Linked DNA regions of Schizosaccharomyces pombe. The protein of the gene in region 1 interacts with the protein of each later gene in a pairwise test. Each region holds a gene or a part of one and is shown on either strand. Other genes may lie near its edges.

Region 1 (7,393 bases):
TAAGAAGATCATGCTCCTCACGATTTTCCCAAATAGTGGATGACAATTTGGAATAAACAAAATCTAGTAGTTCCACCTTATTAAAATTGGTATGTTCAGCAAATTCCTCTGCACATTTTGCCAAGGTTTTTTGAATATTTACGTTATCGTATTTTTTGTTCTCTTCTTTGTGTTCAACACCAGTCCTGCTAGGTGGAGTGACAGCAATCAAATTGTTATGAGTAAGTGATTGTCCATGAAATAAAGTATGTTTATGTTCATCATTAGAAACGTTGCGAACCTCATTTGACGAAAGCTCAATGAAATTGTCTTCTTGTGCAACATCGTTTCTCACAAATGTTTCTTCATTCTTTGATTCTTGCATCTCATGAGCATCCTTTGCATTGTTCAGTTTTTTTTGTTTTAGTTGTTTATATGCCTTTTCCCTCTTGGAGACTTGACAACAATCATACAACAGCTTTGCATCAATCAACTCATCAACATTTAATTCGGCATGCGCAAACATTTCTTTGGCTTTGTGTTTGAGGTTCACGTCGCCAGACAGGATCGCATCTTGTTTGATCATTTTGATATCACGCAAAAACTCTTTAGGAGTACAGTAACGTCCACTCCATAAGCGTCTTTCAATTTCCTCAAAGTTCATCATTTTGAAACAAGCATTGTCTTTTTTACGAGTGACTGTATTTCCTGAAAGGAAATACTCAAAATTATCCTTCGATTTTCCTTTTACCACCCTTTCGTTCGACTCATCAATGTAAATGTCATTTAAATCTATTATCGGTTTTTTGAACTTTTTATAACGAGAGCGAAGCATTTCAAGTATTGAGCTAAGTTTAACCTGAATTTTGTTTTTTATTTTCTTGTCGTTCTTTCTTTGTCTTCGGTTTACTTTGTCGGTTAAATCTGATGTTTTAGAAACTGGTAGTACTTTGGGTAAAATATCAACGCTTGCTGCTTCGGCGCTCTTTTGGTGAATGGGAAGGAATGAAATACGTTTAAGCAAGTAATGGAAAAAAGAGTATCTTGATGAATAATCAGGAAACGACAAGTCATGATATTCGCTTCGATGAGAAGGAAACCAGGAGCGGACGGTAGACGACAATTTTTCTTGATTAGTATTAGCAAACCCCAGTAACATGACAGGTTCTAAAGGGGAAATTGAATCTAATAAAAGAAGGAACATTGACAAAAAGCTATGTGAAAATAGAGATGGCCATTTTTCTACGTTATTGATAAATATAATACTTGGCGCATTTTTTCGGGCTTCAGAGAATATCTTGGTTAACAAAGACCTCGGAGATGTGGTTGTGTCCATTAACAACTCAGAAATATCCAAAGACTGCACGTGGATACCATCTAACATAGAGAAAAGCACTTTGCTTAAATAAGTACATCCATATCCATAAATATCAGTAATCAATAGTCTTGGGCGGAATGACATGGTAGTTTTTAGAGAGTTAATTTCTTTTTGCCTCATCAACTCTTCAGCAGGAAGTTTTTGTAAAGACTCGACCGTTGGTAAATATACGTCAAGTTTTAATAGTCGTCTAATTTTTGACGTTATAACCTCAATACTTTTCTTAAACAGAATTTTGTGGGAATCCGTAATAGGTATATTCGGCTTAACATCACTTCTTCGTGTAGAAACAGCAATCTTCTCAGATGCGACTACAAAATCGCAAATGCTAACGGATATTTCATTCAGGTCAATTAAAAATTTGTCAGAAGATGTGTAAATTTGGGGGAAGGTGCGTCGAACTGCATTAAGGGCTGCTTCGGTGCATAAAGCTTTTAAATCTGCTCCACCATAACCAGACGTAGATTCCGCTAAGTGTAATAAGTAGCTCTCTGGTATTTTTGGAGAAAAATGTAAAGAATTGATTTCAAGAATTTTCATACGTGCTTGCTTATTTGGTAGAGGGAAGTAGAATTCGCGATCAAATCTACCGGGTCTCCTTAAGGCCGGGTCAAGATCGTTGGGACGATTAGTAGCACCAATTACTACTACTTGTCCACGCGTATCGAGGCCATCCATTAAAGCAAGCAAGGTGGAGACAATGGAACTGTGAGTTTGCTCTTGTTTTGAAGATCGAATAGGAGCAAGCCCATCTATTTCATCAAAGAATATGATGCTGGGTTGTACTCTTCTAGCTTCTTCGAATAAAAGCCTAAGTTGCCTTTCTGCTTCGCCAACCCATTTGCTTAAACAATCAGACCCTTTTCTCAAGAAGAAACTAATTTTTTGATTTTTGGTCGAGCAGTTAGCGGCCAACACCCTAGCCATTAGTGTTTTTCCAGTCCCTGGAGGACCATGAAACAAGACACCTCTAGGAGGTGTGATGTGCAGATGTAAGAATACTTCTGGATATAACAAAGGAAGCATCACCATTTCTTTCAGTTGAAGTATAATATCTTCCAGTCCTCCTATGGAATTGAAATCAAGATTTTCCCTATTGGCAAAAGGGTCAGTACTTCTAATCGTCTTTTCGTCTATGTGACCAAAGTGAAGTTGAGAGGAGGGAGCATTCTCAATATCTGAACTAGCGCCCAAATTATTGTAAGCATTAAGTCCTTCAACGTCGGAAGTTTGCTCTGAACTTGTACTGCTCAACTCACTCGTTTCATCACTATCGCAAGTACTTTGATAACCGATGGGAAGAGTAGCAAAATCTTTCATAGGCAATTTTGGCGGATTATAAGTAATCTTCGTTGTTGAAGGATTTGGGGAAGATGCAATTTCGTTGTAATAGTCAAATAAATGATAATTCGGTCGATTGTCACGACTACGAAGTTTGCGTCGGAAATCTGGTGAATTTCGCTCAGCGCGAAGAGGACTCATTGCCTTCTTGACCCTTAAATTTTTTTTAACTGGCAAAATTGGACCTCTCATTTTTCTTTTTCTACGTCCTCTTCTACTTGGAATGGGTGAGCGCACTTTTGTCAAATCATCAGGGCTATCCGCGAAGTCAGAATCACTGGCGTTCGAAGACTCAGGATCACTTTGTCCATCTACGTAGTCTTCATCTAAATAATCACCATTTGTTGATTCTGTTGGAGCTTTTGGATACGAAAAGGTTTTTGAAGAAGTAAGATATGATTTCGGACTTATCAAATCGTCTTCTTCATCCTTAAAGGTAGTGGATTCGTCCTCATTATTATCAGTGTCTAGCTCTTTATCATTTCCTTCCATTTGAAGGTTACTACTTCCATTTCTGATACCATCAATTTGATGTTCAGTACTCTTCTTTCCCAATGATGCATCATTGAATGCCGCAGAAGGCTTTGAAGGATTTTCTATAGAAACAGAAAAAGAAGGCGTTTCTGTGTTTAGATGTTTCTGTAACGAAGAGAATTTTCTATTTCTTTGAGTTTCACGCACTGAAACTAACTTTTGTTTATAGGAGGAAGGATCAAAATGTGAAACTTTTATATGATTTGAATGATCCTCTGATTTTTCGCTGTGTGCGTTGGAGTAATAATCATCATCTTCTTCATTATCTTCATTATCGTCAGAACTAAAACGAATGGATCTGGCCCTTCTGCGCATTGCACGCAAAATGCACTGCTGGCACCAACAAATTAAGACGTTGTCAACTTGGTTAAGACAATTTGTTATGTAGATTTTTTATTTACAATTGCACAATTAAAGGCTCCAAAAAATTTGGGATATCTTAGGTTTTCCACATGCTGGTTTACGAATGGAAGGTTTGTAAGGAAAAGTAAATAAATGAAGTTCGTAACAATGCGTTATAAGAAAAGGAAAGCACATAGTAGAGTAAGTGGATTTTTGGACTAAACAACAGAAGTAGTATCTTTACAAAAACAATATTGTTTAAAAATTGACTTTTCTGAGATTATTTGTCCACGATCAGTTTAGTACATTGGTAATATCCATACATTGATGCATTGTTTACAGACATGTGGATAGATTTGAAATTCTATGAGGATAAAAGTTCATTGCCAACTTCGAATCTTGAGCTTCACTTGACGTTCCTCACTGATATAGTATTTTTTTTTATTTAATTGATTGTCAGTGTTTCGTCGTTTCGCTGTTAATTGAAAGGATGAGAAGAATTTATGCAAAGAGTATTATTTTATAATCTCTTTGAAAACTTACTATTCATAATCCGTAGTTTTACGTCTCATATTAGATTGATATAATGAACAAAGGTAGAGATCGGTACGGCTTTTTTTATTTTTTTATTAAACCAAAAGGTCTTTTAATTTCCTAATTACATTGGCATTCAATACAGATCCATTGAAATTCGATCAATATTGATTTCATTTTTAAAATAGTGTCCTTAAATTTCCTTAATGTTTGAATTCAGTATTTATTATTATTACTAATTCTATTGTTTCATCCAATTTACATGCAATTTATAGCTTTATTATATTTTATTTATTTTTTTATTTTTTTTTTGGAAAAGCAATTGAAGCTAGTCAAATTGGAAAACTGAAGCCAAACACCTAGTGTTAAAAAATTTTATATTTACTAAGTGTAGTACTACAAAAATCGTTTAACAAGGCCTCAAGAAACTCAACCAATATACATATATTTTTTAAATTCATCGAAATATTCGCATTTCATGGAGTTGATAAAAACTTTGCTACCGTAGAACTAAGTAAGTGTAATGTAAACAATAAGCAAAAGACATTAAAACGACTTAAAAAATGAAAATAGCAAACTAATATTATTCAGACATAGTTTATCACAAATTTGAAAGGAAAAAGCAATAATTAATAAAATAATTTTCGCAAAACAATTAAAGAATTCCAATTTCCTACATACTTTGGCTAAATAAATAAAAAAAGTGAACCACTTTTTTTTATCTAATCAAAAAATATATATATTTTAAACAAAAATTGTATTTTTTACTCTTATTATCTACCCTATCTTTTCGTAAAGGATACATGACGGGAGCGGATTAGTATATTGCTATCATCCAAAGCCTTGTATTATTGACTGATTATACTACTAACCATATCTTCATACTACCAACTCCAGCCTTCCTCCTATTTCACTCTTGTTTTAAACGATCAATAACTCAAAACACCATTAATCTTTACCGGGCATATTTGCCATATAAAAATTCTTATACGTATTCGAAAGCGTTAATATTTGGTGAATTTAAATTATCTTTCAAATCCTCCATTTATACCGTAAAGAATTTGTATACTCCTTTCTTTTTCCATTTTCTTATACTTGCGAAATCGTTATAAGTGATCTTTTACTTGTTCTTGTATATCTAAAAGTTTTGTTGGTTGTTATAAAATTTTGTGGATTCGGCTTCTTTACCACATATCTTTTTAAAATTCTCGTTTATTTCCATAACAAATAATCATCGAGCTTGATTTAAGATACTAGGCGCTTTGTTTAAATCCAAATTCTTTTTAAAATTCGGTTAACCTGTCTTACAGCTTTTGGCTGGTAATTAATTAATTGTGTTGTGCAAATATAACAGACCGAATTCCAGTATCCAGCTTCTGTCCAGGCTTCTTGTCTCAATTTTTACCTTCATTTTTCCATATTATCATTAGAATGACTCGGAAAACTATCATTGTTGGGGTTAGGTAAGTTCTACAGGCAATTGTTTTAATGAATTTTTATTAACAAGAAAAAATTAGTGGTGCCTCTTGTAGTGGAAAATCGGTATGATAATTTTGATTAATAAGAAAGAATAAAATAAAATCAAAAACTCCAAAATAAAAAAAAAATGAAGTACTAACCAATTTCTCTTTCTTGTTTTGACAGACTCTATGCCAGCTTTTACATGCCATTTTTGAAGGATCTTCTCTCGTTCATGAAGATGATTTTTACAAGGTTCGTTTAGATTATTTCGTCTATTTGCCTAGTCGTGCGAATTTTGCAAGTGTCATAGAATAAATCGTACCCTCGTTTTAAAAACCGATGGTTGAATCTTATCGATGAAGCAAACACTGTGTTTTTATGTAGTGCCAAAGCACCTATTGATATACTAACTCGTTTGTTTTGTAGACTGATGCTGAGATACCAGTCAAAAACGGCATTGCCGATTGGGATTGCCAAGAGTCGTTGAATTTAGACGCTTTCCTTGAAAATTTGCATTATATCCGTGATCATGGCGTGTTACCTACTCACCTTCGAAATAGGGAAAATAAAAATGTTGCTCCTGAAGCCCTAATAGAATACGCTGATATAATTAAAGAATTCAAGGCACCGGCCATTCCAACTTTGGAACAGCATCTCGTTTTCGTAGACGGATTTATGATGTACGTTAATGAAGACCTTATAAACGCATTTGATATTCGACTGATGCTGGTGACCGATTTTGATACGCTTAAGCGTCGTAGAGAAGCCCGTACTGGTTATATAACGTTGGAAGGTAAGAATTCAACTATCCAGATAAAACATAACACCTGTGTTTAATCGTTGTACCTTTCAGTTAAGGCTAACTCCAAATTGTTCCAGGATTTTGGCAAGACCCCCCACATTATTTCGAAAATTATGTTTGGCCTGGCTATGTACATGGTCATTCCCATTTGTTTGTCAATGGCGATGTGACAGGGAAATTGCTTGATAAGCGTATACAGTTAAGCCCTTCTAGTAAAATGTCTGTGAGAGATAACGTCCAATGGGCCATTAATTCAATTTTGAATGCTTTACAATGATCCGTTTTGATCTATCTTTTCTTCGACTTGTATTTTCTGAGTACTACCTGACTTATACACAAATCCTCTCTACCGCTTCTTTTTTTTCTTTTTAGACAAGACTACCTGTGCATGATTTACTTTTTAAATTCAGGGTTAATTAATTACTTTCCATCATTTCCTCCTCTCCATATATTTATTGCTACTATCGCTTTTAGAACATCATGTTATTAATAATCCGTAACTAGACCGTTTAATAAATGTATATATATTACAAACTTTTATTACTTGATAACCATCCCTTTTTTTATTTTGACAATTCATTTGTAAGCTACTTTATTCTCAAATATTAGTACTTAATATTTCTCGTTCGCTAATGTTCGTGGATTATGATGCTTCAAATAAGTCAGTCCAACTGCCATCTACCTACAAATCCTCTACCAAAAATTTAACAGATTTATGACAGAAGCAAAAAACATATCGGATGATACAGATGTACTTTCTTTGACTACAAATAGTCTTAGAACATCAAAAACTCTTTTTGGAGCCGAGTTTGGGTCAGTTACCAGTTTTGACGATACTGTAGCTCAAAATCTCAAAAGAACATACAAAGAACATTTAGAATATGGTTCTGTTCTTGGAGGAACTGTTGGAAAACGGAAGAACCGACATTACGAAGAAGACACTATTGGTAGTAATGCTTTGACGGTTAGAGCAGACAGTGAAAACCCTTCCTCCCAAGTGATCACCAAGTTTTCAGATCCTA
Region 2 (7,393 bases), on another chromosome or scaffold:
CTGCTTTAGTAATTTTGAACTTTTCATTAATTCAGATATCAGAGATGATCGATTCCTTTTGGGAGTCAAATCACCTCTTACTTGGTTGTGCAACTGTGCTTGCACGGCATTTGGTACTGCAAATGGAGACTTCAGAAACGTATCATAATATTCTTTTAGCATGCATTCAAGTATGAAACCGATATCGCTTGGTAAATTGCTCCACGTTGAGAAAAGCAATTTGGCAAACGTTGATCGGTTCTTCTTATATTTGAGCCAATGCTTTTTGTCCTCCTTCGACAAAATACAAACTGAATCTGGAGATATGAGAGGACGAAGTTTCTCGAGAGCATATTTCACAAAAGTTTCCATCGGAACGACATAAGAATTGAGCTTTTTAGAATAGGTTGATTTATGTAAATCAATTAAAATCAATACTATTTTAACAATAATGTCTTCATTTAAAAACCCATAATTACTATTTTGCTTAAGCCAACAAGATGCGAAGACTTGCAAAATAGGAGAGTGTATGTAATCATCCGAGCCATAGTAAAGATCACAGCATAATTTTTGAAAGGAAGCGTAAACATTTAAACTTGAAAAGTCATAGTGTGATATGAATTTTACATACACATTTTCATATTCAGATCCCAAACTAGCAAACCAATCTGTAAAATTGTACGACAATAGCTGCTTCTCTAGCAAATTCCGTAAGCAATTGGATAAATTAATGGGGTCCTTAAACTCTGAATTGTGACATACCTCGAACAATTTCAGTTGAGAACGGTCGTGTAAATTCAAAATAGTTAAAAGTGATCGTGGAACTTTAATTCTTGGATTGTTTTTAAATTCCAAAGAATTGGGAGTTGCTATTTCTTCGGAATTGAGATCACTCTTGCTATCACTTATAAGCAAAAACTCTTCTTTAAACTTTGAAGCGCTCAGACCTTCGTTAGCAAACGTTTCATCTTCATAATCTTGTAGGAACGTTTCCTGAATATCCATAGTTTTGACATCTGGATTCACAAAAACTTTTTCGCCAACCTGCTGACTATTTATGCGTGAATTGCGTAAATTGCGCATCTTGCGAATTTCTTCAGCTGCGTTTTCATGGTGAACTGACTGAGACTTAATCTGACTTTGCAATTGTTGAATATAGCTACGTTCATCATGACTAAGATGCTCTCGGTCATCCAATAGTAATTTTGAAATTGAAACTAGACCTTCGGGGGTTTTGGGTGAAGAAAACCGATTTTCACGCAACATTATTTCGTTTGTAATACCAACCTCCGAAAGCACTGAATAATACGCAACCAACGATTGTTTTAAGCAAGAAATCTGCTTTAGTGGTATTCTTTGGAATCTTGAATAAACTAACGCAAATTGGTGTTCCGCGATGTCTAAAGGGTATTTCCTGAGCAAAAGTTTTGCTAATTTGCAAAAATATAGGCGGTCAGAAAGATTTTCAAGTAAATACATTTTGGGATCAGCATTAGCAAGCTCATTTTTAGTGTTAAGTTTCGATACCTGTATACGACTATTGATTTTGTGTTCAGTAGCGTTCAAAGTTCTTGGATGAGGGTTCAACTCTAAATTTTTTTCCATTTTTATGCTCGGGTGTACATTACCATTTCCAGCTAGACACGCTCTCTCAATTTTTGAAATAACTTTCTCTGATGGATTAACTACCTTAGATATGCTGGAATGGGATGTCGGTTCAACATTGTTTATCGATTGTGGCATGTAAATATTTCCTAGTTGTTTGGCTAGTTGTTTAACATGACCCTTGGGAGGAGCCTCAGATGTCGGTGCCTTTGTTGTAGGAGCCTTTGTTGTAGGAGACTCTGCTGCAGCCAATGCTTGTGGTTGTACTGAATTAGAATCTTGGTTCATTAGTAGCGCAGTCTTTTCCCTTATCACTTGCAAAAACTTCTGAGAAGTTGTCAGAACTGAATCACCGACTGACACTTTTGGTGGTACTTCCATTGAACCATTTTTAGCAGCAAATAGGTTTATAGCTTCCTTTATTCTGTTACATTTTCTGGTGGAAGCCCGATAATTAGGACCTAAATTAAAGGGATTCTCTTCTAAAGCATTTGTAGTATGCCCTTTAGATAAATTTGAAACATAGTCCCTTTTTCTATTTCTCTCCCTAGCTAGCTCGATCCTTGCTCTAACATTTTCCCCGGAATACTTCCCCTGAATCCTCCTCTTAGCAGATAAACTAATTTTTTTTGAAGGAAATATTTCCTGAGGAAAATTGGTAACGACTATCGGAGGCGGCGTTCTTTGGCGCTTTTTAGAAGATGGAAGTTCTTCTTCATAATCTTTCAAATCACGTTTTAATGAGTAAGAACCAGAGGAAGCTCGTACGCCGTTGCCGAACATGGATTGAGAAGGATGAGAGTTTACGGGTTCACTAAATATTCGTTTAGGCTGAAGGCTTAAATCAGAAAGTTCACCATTTGTTCGAGGACGCCGGGTTTTAATAAACGATTCTTTGTTGCTTAACTTGCTTTTAACGTTAAACATATGATTGTTTTCAGCCAAGATTTTCTCAGACTCCACAGAATTGGCATTGGAATTGAGAAAAGAGCGACGATGACTTATAAATTCCTGAATCTGCTTCAAGCGTGTCCTTCTCTGAGAAGATTTGTCTTCTCCAGAAATATTTTCCGTTTTGCTTTTAGCGCCTTCCGTATGCAAATTTTCTTGACAAATTATTCCCTTTGATTCCTCAAGTTTGCAAAAATCGGTTGTAACTTTAGACCGCTTCAACTTCGAAAGCAACGCTGAATGCTTTTGGCCGGAAGTATAGGTAGGCTTTGATTCTCTCACAGGACGACAAGTGATGCGACTATCATTGCACGATTCCAACTTTGCAATTTTTTCCGAAACACTTAAGCTTGTTGGGGAAGATCCTTCTGTTATTCTAAAATCCATTCTACCTTTTTCGTGGATAATTATACAATTGATTAAAAGAAATTAATAGTTATGTCGGAAGAACGCTTAAAAAATACAATATGAATATAGGAATTCTTTCAATCGGTTGATCGCGAAAGCAATTAGGATAATTATGTAAGTTTTGTAAGGACAATTATCAAAATTGTTTCCTTAAATATTTATACAAACCGTCAGTTTTGAGGGAGGTTGAGGGTAAAGGAAAAATAGGCAAAACAAATAGCTTATGTCTTAAAACACCTCATTGCATTAGACCTAGCGAACAAACTATTTGTTTACGTTTGTAAATGTCAACACACGTTGATTACATCGGGAACAACATAAACCAATAAAACGAATTTTAGGATCATTTAATAATTTCTTTGACAAAATCGAAACAATAACAACTTTAAGGGAAACCATATCCGATTATAGGAGCAACAATCTGACCTTCCCAATGCTGAAGAAAGCTAATCAGTTCTACAGCTGAAATTTATCTATAGATCGCAAAAAGAATCAAAGGGAAAATCGATATCGTTTCACAAAATGTTCCCAACTTTTTTGGACTTTTCATACGAAAGTAACTGATACGATAATAGAATGAGTTTTTATCTCATTTATGTAAAATGACTACCTTTGTTGAGTAAAATTGAGCAATTATAAATTAAGCATATTCATATTGATCCATAAAATAAAAATTTGTTGCTAACATAAAGTCAACAGCGAACCGAAGTTTGAACGTAACCACTTGGGATAAAATTTTTATTGGATCGAAATCATTTGCATGATAATGGAAATAGTTGCTATTACATTTGTTACTGTTAGCTGAGGTGTGGTGTGCTGTCGAAGCCCTTGTTTAAGACTCAATAAATTCTAGCCGGCAGCCATCTCTAATGGAGTCCAACGTGAACGATGAAATAGAAAAGGCATTTGCCAAAGATTCTGAGTTAGCAAAAGATATAATCAAACAATATGGTAAGGTTTGAGTACATGCTTTTTTCCTTAGTCTAATGAAATTAGGGAAAACAAAAAGTATACAGCCTCTAGTGCATCGAATTTGCAAGTACATCAATACATTGCAAAAGGAAAACGAATCAGGCCAAGTGAAGGAGGCTGGAAGTTTAAAACGAAAGGATCGTGTTCAACATGAGTTAGGTCAATTGGTCTATGGAGTACTTAATCTATCGTTTCAGGCACCTATGCGAAAAAAGCTAGACGTCTACATTTATGAAAATGGAATAGCAGTAACATTACCAGGCGAACCCAATTTAATTGAATTTTGGCTTCCCTGGAATGAAATTCGTTGTGCAATCCATGTCCCATGTCCAAGGAAAGCTAATGTTCAAAACAACTTTGTGATCATCCTTAAAAGTGAATCGTCGGCAGAAAATATTGTTTCAAGTGATAATGTAAAAGAACCTGTCTTTTTTACGGCACCGTATCCTTTGAAAAAGCTCAACCTCGTTGAAGGTTTACGATCCTTCACCCACTGCACGAACTCATGGGATATTTTTCGCGATTACTTTGAGTTTATTGGCACTAGTACTTTGTCTCCTTCTGTCGAAGAATTTGTTTGTCCAAACCCGCAAACGGGGGACAATGGCACGACATATGGGGTTGAAGCAAACTATAAAGCTAAAGATGGTATGCAAAGGATGAATTCTGTGTCAAAATTGCTAATCAAATAGGGCATTTATTTTTTCTGCGTACTGGCATACTATGGGGCTTCCGTAAACCTATACTTTTCATTGAACTAGCTAGCATCCAGCATTTTTCCTATAGTAATGTTTTGCAACGAACATTTACAGTTAATTTTGAAGCTGGTGGTACAATATATTCATTCGATATGGTTGATCAAAGTGTCTTTAGAGCAGTAAATGATTACGCGACAAAGCATGGACTAATGGACTCCAGTCTTGCTGAAGAAAAAGCTGCACCAGTCCCTAAAAATCCATCTGTTTCATATTTGAATGAGGCATCATCTCTTGAAAATGTTGATGATATGGATGATATTGATGTTAAAGAACCTTTATTCTCTGATAACGACGAGGATGTCGAAAACAGCGACAGCGAGGACGGTAGCGAATCTATCGGTTCAGAGGACGAAGAATAGAAAGTTGAATGTACATAAATTTTTTTCTGTTTTATTTATTACCAGTTTGTTTTAATTTAAGGATTTAAATAAATTTAAAGTCTTCTAGCAAAAGGTTATCTGTGAGCTATCCAAATTTGTTTTAGACTCAAGTTATACACAAAGTTGTCGCAGGATACATTTTTTGTTGATAGTTTAAAAAGTGTGGATCTGGACTTTGTGTGCTAATCAATAGATTTACGCTCCCACTTGTTTGAGTTTTCTCAAAAATTACCCGACCAACATGTAAATATTTTCTATAATACTAATTTATGAAAATTCCTAATTACCTTATTCGATCTGCCGCTCTTAAAAAAGGTATATAATGTAAATAGCGGTTATTTAAAGTTCCTGATGTTCATTTTAACAGAAGGGTAGCTGAGTTTAAGCAAGAATTACCTGAACTGCCCATAATTTAATTCACAATTAGCATAAATCTTTAAAAACTCTTTCACGAGATTTTTTAATTATTTTTTTCAAAAAAAAAGACGACTATAAGTAACTAATTGTTTAATTTTTTACATTAGTTTTTTTCTTTGTCAATAAATTACTAAAATCTTTTTCTGAATGTAAGAAATTAAATAATTTAACAATATATCAACTCATCGACTGTTATTGAAGGATCTTCTTCTTAAAAAGAAAGAAAATTAATTTAAGACAATAGAAATGTTTTTGATTGATATTAATGATTAGCTCTTCTAAAATGCTGTTGCAATTTATCTAATCATTATTTATTTACATTTTAGTTAAAAAGCTATGTTCATAACGTACGGTAAAAAAAATAGGTGACACTTACGCAGTTCAGTGTCTTTTTTAACGATACGTAAAACCCGGTGATAATTCTTGTGACCTATTATATTATAATAAGTAGGTTAATAAGCGCTGACCAATGTAGGTATTATATATATGGGTCAAACTGTTACCTGTCACTAAATAGTGCTTATTACTGTACCTCGTTTCTCAGTTAAGTTGTAACTCTATTTATAATCTTACTGATAATTTTTCTAGAAAAATATCCTAGTAAATAAGAGGATAATGTCCGCAATGATCAATACGCGGATCTAACTGGTATTCTAATATATGACATATAGTGATGAATACCCTAATGTAATATAGCGTAGTGTAGTATTGCTTGCACAATAAAACTTTATACCCCCATGCGTTATTAAAATTAAAGAGGCATAACAGAAATTATTTCCAACAAATTTTCGAATCCTATAATGCTAATTCAATCCTAGAGCAAAATGCCAAAAAAAAGAAAAACGCGTGGTAAAAAGCACTCTGCCAAACAAAAGGAGGAAGAAGTTAATTCAGTTGTTTCTCCCGGTATTGCAAAAAACGATGAAGGCGCTGGAAATGATGAAGGTGCATATCAGGTAAACCGTTACACGAATGAACCAGTGCAACCGTTTTTTGGTGCTTTGGACCCCGAAGAAGAAAAATACTTCCAACAAGCTGAACAGGCTTTTGCCAATCATTTTACAAGAGAAAACGAAGATACCAGGTTTTTTGTCGACAGCATTTATCGTGAGGTGCAAGGCAAAGAGCTAATTGTCTGCAACAATGTGTTCGGATCGAAGGTTCTTGAAAAGCTTTTCCCTTTATCAACGAGTAGACAAATCAAATCGTTTTTTTCTGCATTGAATGGTCATTATGTGGAGCTAATTCAGACAACGTTTGGCTCTTATGCTTTCGAAAAGCTGTTGAGTCACATGGCTGCCATTCTAAATTTGGAAACCCAAGGTGTTACAGAGGATCAAGATGATGTTTTGGAAGGTGAAAATGAAAATGTCTTCATGACAGCAGAAACTTTACTTATGTACATGTACAATGAAATACGCCCAGAGGTTTCTATGCTAATGAGCCATAAGTTGGCTGTTCATGTATTGGGCAAAATTTTCCTTTTGCTTGATGGATATCGATTCGTGTATCATGATGGAAACAGAACCACTATGGAGTCTATTTCTGTTCCCGAATCCTTTCCCCAGTTTGCTTATTCCATAATTGATAGTGCTACGGACAACCTCGATACCCCAGAACTTCGAGCTTATTGTGTTGATAAATATGCGAGTCAAATTATGAGAGCGTTTATACGTATAGACTTTGAGCGCTCAAAAAAAACAAAAAAGAAGCACGATCCACGCTTAGTTTCCAAATTGTTACTATCTAACGAGTACGATTTAAAAGAATTACCGTTTATGGAAACTTTGTTGAAGGACGAAACTGGCTCGCGTATTCTGGAGGTCATCGTTGAAAACATGTCAGCCTCTCATCTACTCAGATTTTATGCCGTCTTTGAAGGACGTTTTTATCGGCTTTGTGTTCATCCTATAGCCAATTTTA
Region 3 (7,393 bases), on another chromosome or scaffold:
CACCAGTCACTAGAGCATATTTGTCTTGGTATGTTATACCATTCTTAGCACCCGATTCTAAAACATCTAAATAAGTGCCAGTCAATGACTTGTTGAATTCCCAATTACCATCAACGGACTTCTTCCTAATATGAAGGAAAGGAATGGTTTCTTTAACAGGCGTTTGTTCATCGTTGGAAGAAGGCAATGGAAGGGAAAGGGCATGTAAAACCTGACCGTACAACTGTTTAATCTGCAACTTAGACGAACGAGACATTTTGTTTTGAGACTTAATAATGCGATAAATTCGAGCCAAATCGTTTTGTACCTTAGCTTTGTTTTTGGACTCCGTTGGTAATTTACCACCTTTGGCCATCTCAGTAACGTAATGAGTTAATTTGCGAACACCTGGTCTAGGGATTTCTTCATAATTCAAATTACCACGTTCGTCAATCGTCGTAGAAGGAGCAGTTGGATGATTCACATTTTTGAAAACTGGAGGAGCATCTATCACGGATTTGCAATTATCAATTAGCTGTTGGCCCAAGGTTTTAGCAAGTTGATATGTTTCACCCTTTTCGGCGGGACAATGATCAATATGATATTGCATAAATTCAAGTAAAGTAGGGTTGGATCTATTCATAACAGAAATACAACGAGCGACTATTTCAGTATCAACATGCTTAAGACGACCAAAGATAATGTCAAAAAACATCTTAAGAGCATCTTGACGAGCCCAATTCCAGTCGGAGTCGTAAACGCGAGCTTTTAAAGGCGAAAAAATAGGAGCAATTCCTGATGCATAAAATTCACCATGTTCTTCGTTCCATAAATCTAATTGAGCGCGTAAGGTATCGGAAATAACCTTTTCAGCAACTTGAGCCTTTTGGCCAGCACGAAGGTCTTTATTGAGGTATCGAGCAAATAGTTCTAATTGCTGAGTAACAAGCATGGTATTATTCTTGGTGAGTTTCTTAAAGGTTTCTTCATCGATAACAGCTGCAGAACCGGACGAAGAACCGCCTTCAGCAGTAGGAGAAGATAATGTAACACCATTACGAGCAGCATATTTTTGAGCTACACTATCAAGCCAAGCTTTAGCATCAGCTTCCGAGCCCAAACGTGATGCAGGTTCCATGGTAAGCGCTAACAAAAGCACAGACTCCAAACGACCAGGACCCAAACCATAACGGTTTCCTAAATAACCACGAACAGCAGAATTATTGAAACCACCAGGCATTTTTGAGGAAATCATTCGTGAGATAAGAGAAGACGATTGTTTACCAAGAGATCCGTTAAAGCTTGACTGCATGATAGCTCCAAGCTCATCCAATGGAACCTCCTCTGGCTTCTCGGGAGTGGCACCGAACTCCTTCTGTAAATCACCAAGAATTTCGTTTTGCAAAGTGGACTTACCGCCAACCAAATCTTTGATAGATTTTTGAGGGGAGACTTCCTCGATGCTTTTCTTCAACTTTTGGGCAACAAGAGTATGAAGTACCTCAAGAGCTTTGGGAGGCTCGTCAGGTAAAGCAGCAGCTGGGGCTGATGTTTGTGCTGGGGCAGGGGCTGGCGTGGCAGCGGGAGCGGCAGCAGCAGCAGTTTCAACCTTTGGAGTGGAGCTGGTTGAAGCTGGGGCTTCGGCAGGTTCATCAGCAACCTCGTCCTCAAAGTTGTAATAGATTTCACGAGCATCTTTAGAGTAGCAAAGAACTTCACGATTAATACTTAAAGCGGCATCCATGTTCTCATATTTCAATTTCAAGGTACGCTTAGCCATACCAGCTAAGGTAGGACTAGGTCCAATTTCGACGATACGTTCAGCCGATACTGGAGGAGAAAGAATTACATCTTGCGTCTCAATCCAACGGACAGGAGATGCAAACTGGTATGCAAGCAACTCCAATAATAAAGTATGAGCAAGCTCCTGCTCAACTTCTGGTCTCATTATTCAAATGGTTTAACAAAACTCCAACACCTGCTTTAGTTGTTGGTTCTAGTTAACTTGATCCTTTACTATCGCGTGGGAACACTCAGGTTAAACCTATCAGCTTTGAAGCATGTAACGAATATTTAACGCATCGTTATCAAATATAGCGAATTAGCAACTGCTTGTGGCATAATTAACATTTTATCACTCTCTACTACACAGTATAGTAAGCTTGTAAAATACTTTTGAGTAATTATCAGTTATAGAAAGATTTTAGAGAGAGATTTTGTTAAATATAAGATCATCTCTTTTTCAATTTAGTAAATTTAGCAATAAACAAGAAGCATCTTACCTTGTTGGAATTGAGCGTTAGGTGCTCAGTTTTATCATTAGTCGAAACAAAGTACACTGTTTACCAATAGTCTATTTAATAATAAGAGTATTATTTTTATCGCGATCTGCGAGAGCTTTTAAACTAAACACGTATTTCGACTATGTGAGATAACTATAAATATAGAATTTACCAGTATACGTAAAACTAAGAAAAACCATATAAAACTATTTGCCAACTTATATCTACCTGCCACCGATTTTATACGCAATTCTTTTCCAGCAAATTACATAACTTTTCAAGTATGAGTGTAAACGTGATCAACTAACATACTATCTAATAGATAGATGACAACGAAAAAAGCATTTTACTACTAAAGTGTACTCTCAATCGTAGAGAACTGTTCAATTGTAAGATGTATCTAATAAATCTTTAGTCGTATACTTTCTTTCAATACTTTGGTTGTATAGCATTAACGGAGGGAAACCATATTGAAATGTTTTAAATTAAGAGATTTTATAGTCAATCCATATAACGATTAGGGGAATTGCTTCGAAGTTTTGGGGATAATAGTTGCATCTATTTGGCGTAACTGTGGAAGACATAATCTAACTTTGTTACGGTAAACAGCAGGATTGGTTTTCTGCAAAGGATTTCCCTCAAAATAAACGGTTTCAAGTTTTTTAAGACCAGAAAGCTCGTCTTCAATTTCTTGAAAAGAAGACAGTTCGTTATTGCTAGCCCATAATTCTACTAGATTTTTTAGTCCCGCTAAGTATGAAAGGTGCTTAATCATGTTGTTGGAAACATCCAAAATTTCAAGGTTTTCGAGGACCTCAATACCAGAGAAACTAGTTAGACCATTATGCGATACATATAATTCTCGAAGACAATGGGATAAGCAGGCCAAGTTTTCAAATTGAGTTATTCGATTTGATTGAATTGATAAAAGAGAAAGTTTCTGTAATTTTTCAAAATTCTCGAATTTGGTTATTTTGTTTTTGCCAACCCAGAGTTTTTCTAAATTAACTAAAGTATCCAAATTCTCAATTACTCTTATTTTGTTCCCCCCCAATTCAAGGTTCGTTAACCTGTCTAAACCTTCTAAATTTTCAATTCTCCTAATTCTGTTTTGGACAAAGAAGAGGTTTTCTAAGCCCTTTAAATGGTTAATGTTTCGAATCGTTTTAATATTGTTGAAAGACAGATCCAAGTAAGTGAGATTTTTGACATTATCCAAGTTTTCAATTCTGACAATTAAGTTGTCATACAAATCCAATTCAGTCAATGTTTCTGGAACTGATTCAATTTTCTTGATTTGATTTTGGCGAAGACATAAACTCTGTAAATTTTTAAATCTTTCAAGTCCAAGAGATGCCATGCTTTGTATACGAGACTGAATAAGCTCTACGCACTATATTAAGTTGGTTAGCTATATTTCAATTTAATGATTTAAAGATATCATTTACATCGACGTCGTCCGGCACATCATCAAGCAGATCTTCATCTGCATCGATTTGCTGGACATCAGGGTCATCAATGATAAGCTGTGTCTCAGGAGCAATTCCATCTTCACTGGAAACGTTACTCATTGTAAAAAAAGGCGATATAATAAAAAGGGCAAACGTGTTACAAACGAAAGTACTATATGCTTTCAAGTAGAGTACCGTGACAACATAACGACGCTTTAGGAAGCAACGATACTCTTGCTATAGCTTTTTACAAATCTGTATAGTTTTTATCGAATCGTTAAAAAACTCACTATAGTGAAACTCATAGCATACCGCAACATAAAATAATCTTATTCAGCGAAAATCATTAAGTTGACTAAATGCTAAACAATCCCAATTGCAGCTTAATTGTTTAACAATCGTTAGTACTCATCACATTAATGGAACAATTATCATATGGTGTGTATAGATTTATTAATGAACGATAACTTACACGGTAATATAACCCCCTCCTCGAATACTGATAAAAACAGATTTGAAAACAAGGTTCATTTCAAGTCATGTTAAGCTAGTCAATCAAATATATGGCAATGTGAAATTGTACATTCTCTGAAAGAAGTTACAAACGATGTATAGTTTACGGAATTGACTTCGACATTCAAATATAAGGGTATAAAATAAATGAATAAATGACAGTTGACCTAGAAGGGAATAGCAAATAACAACGTCTCATTTAATACACCGATGACACATGACTACTAGCAAGCATGAGTTTAGCGAGGGATATGAGCAAAGGAGTTTTCGTTATCTTTTGCTTCCCATATAAGACTATCAACATCAAAGTTTCCATGGAAGACCCAACCATTTTCATCAATGTGATAAAGATTTACTGAGCCACCAGAGTATGCATCTCTGTGAGTGGCAGCAACAATAGAGCGCTGAGCTAAATAAAGAGCTTCTTGTTTAGATAAGTCCCAGCGATATCCAGAGTCCAAAACACCGTACGCAAATGTAGAACCTGAACCAACGGAAAACAAATCACCTTTCAATCGGGTGCCATCACTGTCGATGTAGTAAAGTGCAGTACCACCTTTTCCTGTTCCAGCAAGCATAGTACCCATGCTAAGTCCATAACCCTTGTATGAATAAGTAATGTTTGAAAGAATTTTGCTAGCAGCAGAAACAGAGATTAACTCCTTATTTCTAAGTTGATGTAAACGACATTCCATTCCTAGAACTGTCTCCCAAAACTGACAGTCAGCTGCACCACCAGCAAGAGTACCTAAAAGATATGGGTTTATCTCTATAACTTTTTTAACGGTTTGTGAAGCAATAAGAGGACCGGCAGATGCTCTCGAATCTACACAAACAACGATACCATGTTGGTAACGAAAAGCTAAAGTAGTAGTACCATGATTCATTTTAATAAGACAATGCTTGTTTTTCGTTTCATCTGTTAAGTTTCGTAAATAAAGAGAAGATTGAGGCACTGGTACGACATCAAATCGATTTGTAAATCCTTCTTCTTCTATTATTTTTTTTGGGTCATCATTGTTAGTACTTTGTGTATACTTAGATACGATAGAATTCATGATTAAAGAATAGTATTACGCTCTTAGCACGTTCGTCGCTCAGTCAGCTTACGGCAAACACTCAATATAGCGACTCTCTTAGAAATCGCTATTATAATATTTGGAACACTACCGCGACTACTGTTATGACTAAACGCAAAAGAAGCGAAAAATGTCAAACATTTTTAAAAATAAGTTTTTGTCAAATTTAAATTATTTTTGTTTTCTAGACTTAATAGTAATATTTCAGCTGATTTTGTATATTTATCTAACATTTTAGGAATGCCAATTTATGAGTCCATGTGACCTATCTAGCATGTTGGGAAAACAAAGAAACTATCGTTTTAGCGTGCCATTTTACAGTTACGTTAAATAAGTATACCGATGCTTAAAACTGGCAAATAAAAAACAACAGAAAGTTACACTCTTCTTTTTACTCAATTACCTATACCTAGACGCATCTGTTTAACGGGAAAACGATAATATAATTACTTCTCGTAGTTCTAGCACATATATAGTTTTTTGAAGCTCACTTGAGTAATTTTGTAGATTTTGAAATTCGGGAACCGTAAGTTGAGGAAATATATTATAGGGAATATGAAGAGTGCTACAATCATTGGAGGCGGTTCTCATCCTGAACTTTTACATCTCATTTCTAACCGACTTGGAATTACACCTTGTGATGTATCTCTAAAAAGGTTTGCAAATGGCGAGACAAGCGTTGAAATTCGTGAGTCAGTGCGAGATAAGGACGTTTTCATTTTGCAAAGTGGAAGTTCCACTGTAAATGACAGCTTAATGGAGCTCCTTATTATTATAAGCGCTTGTAAAGGTGGATCTGCTAAAAGAATCACAGCTGTCATGCCTTACTTTCCTTATTCCAAACAATCTAAAATGCGGAAGTATCGAGATGCCATTACAGCTAGAATGGTAGCCAATTTATTAACCGTTGCTGGTGTTGATCATATAATTACTCTTGATTTGCATGCTTCTCAAATGCAGGGATTCTTCACTCGCCCAGTCGACAATCTATATGCAGAGCCTAACATAGCTGAATGGATTCGTAGAAACGTCGATGATTGGGAAGAAGCGGTAGTAGTTTCGAAGAATCCTGGTGGTGCCAAAAGAGTTACCAGTTTGGCGGATACTTTGAATTTGGACTTTGCATTGATTAACACTGATAGACAACGAAGTTCTCATTTTTCCCAAAATTTTGAAGATTCCATTATGGATGAAACAGAAGCAACTGAAACACATGTTACTAATTGTTCTGTATATTTGGATCGTCCTCGTATCCATACTGCTAAGTACCTTTTGGGACATATTATCGATGACGAAGAAATTATAACTACCCCAGCTAGTGTTTGTTCAGAAGATTATGCTCAAGAAGTTAATTTGTATTCTCAGGGAGGATGTCCCAGTGATGATGATGAAGAGGAAAACATTATGTCTGCGTCCATTTATGCTGAACGTATGATCACCCTTGTCGGCGATGTGAACGGTAAAACCGCCTTATTAATTGACGATACAATTGAAAATCCAACAGCTTTCATTGTCGCTTCCGAACATTTGGTTAAGCGATGTGGAGCTAAAAGAGTTATAGTGATTGGTACCCATGGAATTTTTCAAAATAAATGTTTAAAAGATTTGCAATCTTGTGAATACATTGAACAGGTAATGTCAAATATCACGGAAAGCTGACTAACGTAACAATAGATTGTTGTCACCAATACGTATCCTATCAAACCACAAGCAGTCCTGGAATGTGACAAACTTACTGTTATTGATATTAGTGGGGTACTTGCAGAGGCTATTCGCCGTACCCATAACGGTGAAAGTATTAGCTTCTTGTTTAAGAAAGCGTTCTAAAATTTTCGTACTACTTTATTTATCATGTTAATTTAATTAGTTATTTTAACTACAATATGCTGCTCTAGAAGACTTGGTTTTGAGTCAAAGTTATAGGATATCAAAAAGTAACGTTTTGTTTAATATCACTGTTTCTTACCTTGGTGTGAAGAATGTCTACCAATGAATAGAAAAATCTGTACGCTAATTATTTACCTAATTTAAGAAGTAGCACTATTTTGTAACAAATATAGTTGCCCGTATTGTGGGACTTCTTTAAATT

The links.
Region 2: the proteins of abo2 (region 1) and spo7 interact in a two-hybrid assay, tested with the Schizosaccharomyces pombe proteins (one large-scale study listed by BioGRID).
Region 3: the proteins of abo2 (region 1) and sds22 interact in a two-hybrid assay, tested with the Schizosaccharomyces pombe proteins (one large-scale study listed by BioGRID).

Annotation. Positions count from the first base shown.
Region 1 is NC_003423.3:1,439,026-1,446,418, forward strand, and holds the start of abo2 (ATPase histone chaperone), read right to left. Parts: upstream 3,697-7,393; 5' UTR 3,548-3,696; coding exon 1-3,547. Other genes in the region: nrk1 (nicotinamide riboside kinase), read left to right, coding at 5,540-5,571, 5,626-5,650, 5,753-5,821, 5,996-6,362, 6,449-6,648; Prp19 complex WD repeat protein Prp5, read left to right, coding at 7,087-7,393. UniProt on the Schizosaccharomyces pombe protein: Probable ATPase which may play a role in nucleosome organization.
Region 2 is NC_003424.3:3,244,127-3,251,519, reverse strand, and holds the start of spo7 (ArfGEF Spo7), read right to left. Parts: upstream 3,762-7,393; 5' UTR 2,923-3,761; coding exon 1-2,922. Other genes in the region: histone H3.3 H4 heterotetramer chaperone Rtt106, read left to right, coding at 3,813-3,894, 3,940-4,563, 4,608-5,032; RNA-binding protein Nop9, read left to right, coding at 6,295-7,393. UniProt on the Schizosaccharomyces pombe protein: Appears to have a role in sporulation.
Region 3 is NC_003424.3:2,570,642-2,578,034, forward strand, and holds sds22 (serine/threonine protein phosphatase PP1 regulatory subunit Sds22), read right to left. Parts: upstream 3,901-7,393; 5' UTR 3,833-3,900; coding exon 3,710-3,832; exon of another isoform or gene 3,655-3,709; coding exon 2,779-3,654; 3' UTR 2,519-2,778; downstream 1-2,518. Other genes in the region: fatty acid synthase alpha subunit Fas2, read right to left, coding at 1-1,927; pts1 (20S proteasome complex subunit beta 5), read right to left, coding at 4,465-5,283; SPOM_SPAC4A8.14 (ribose-phosphate pyrophosphokinase), read left to right, coding at 5,860-6,936, 6,979-7,131. UniProt on the Schizosaccharomyces pombe protein: Essential for the mitotic metaphase/anaphase transition. Positively modulates protein phosphatase-1, possibly by forming a repeating helical rod that is capable of enhancing a PP1-dependent dephosphorylation activity.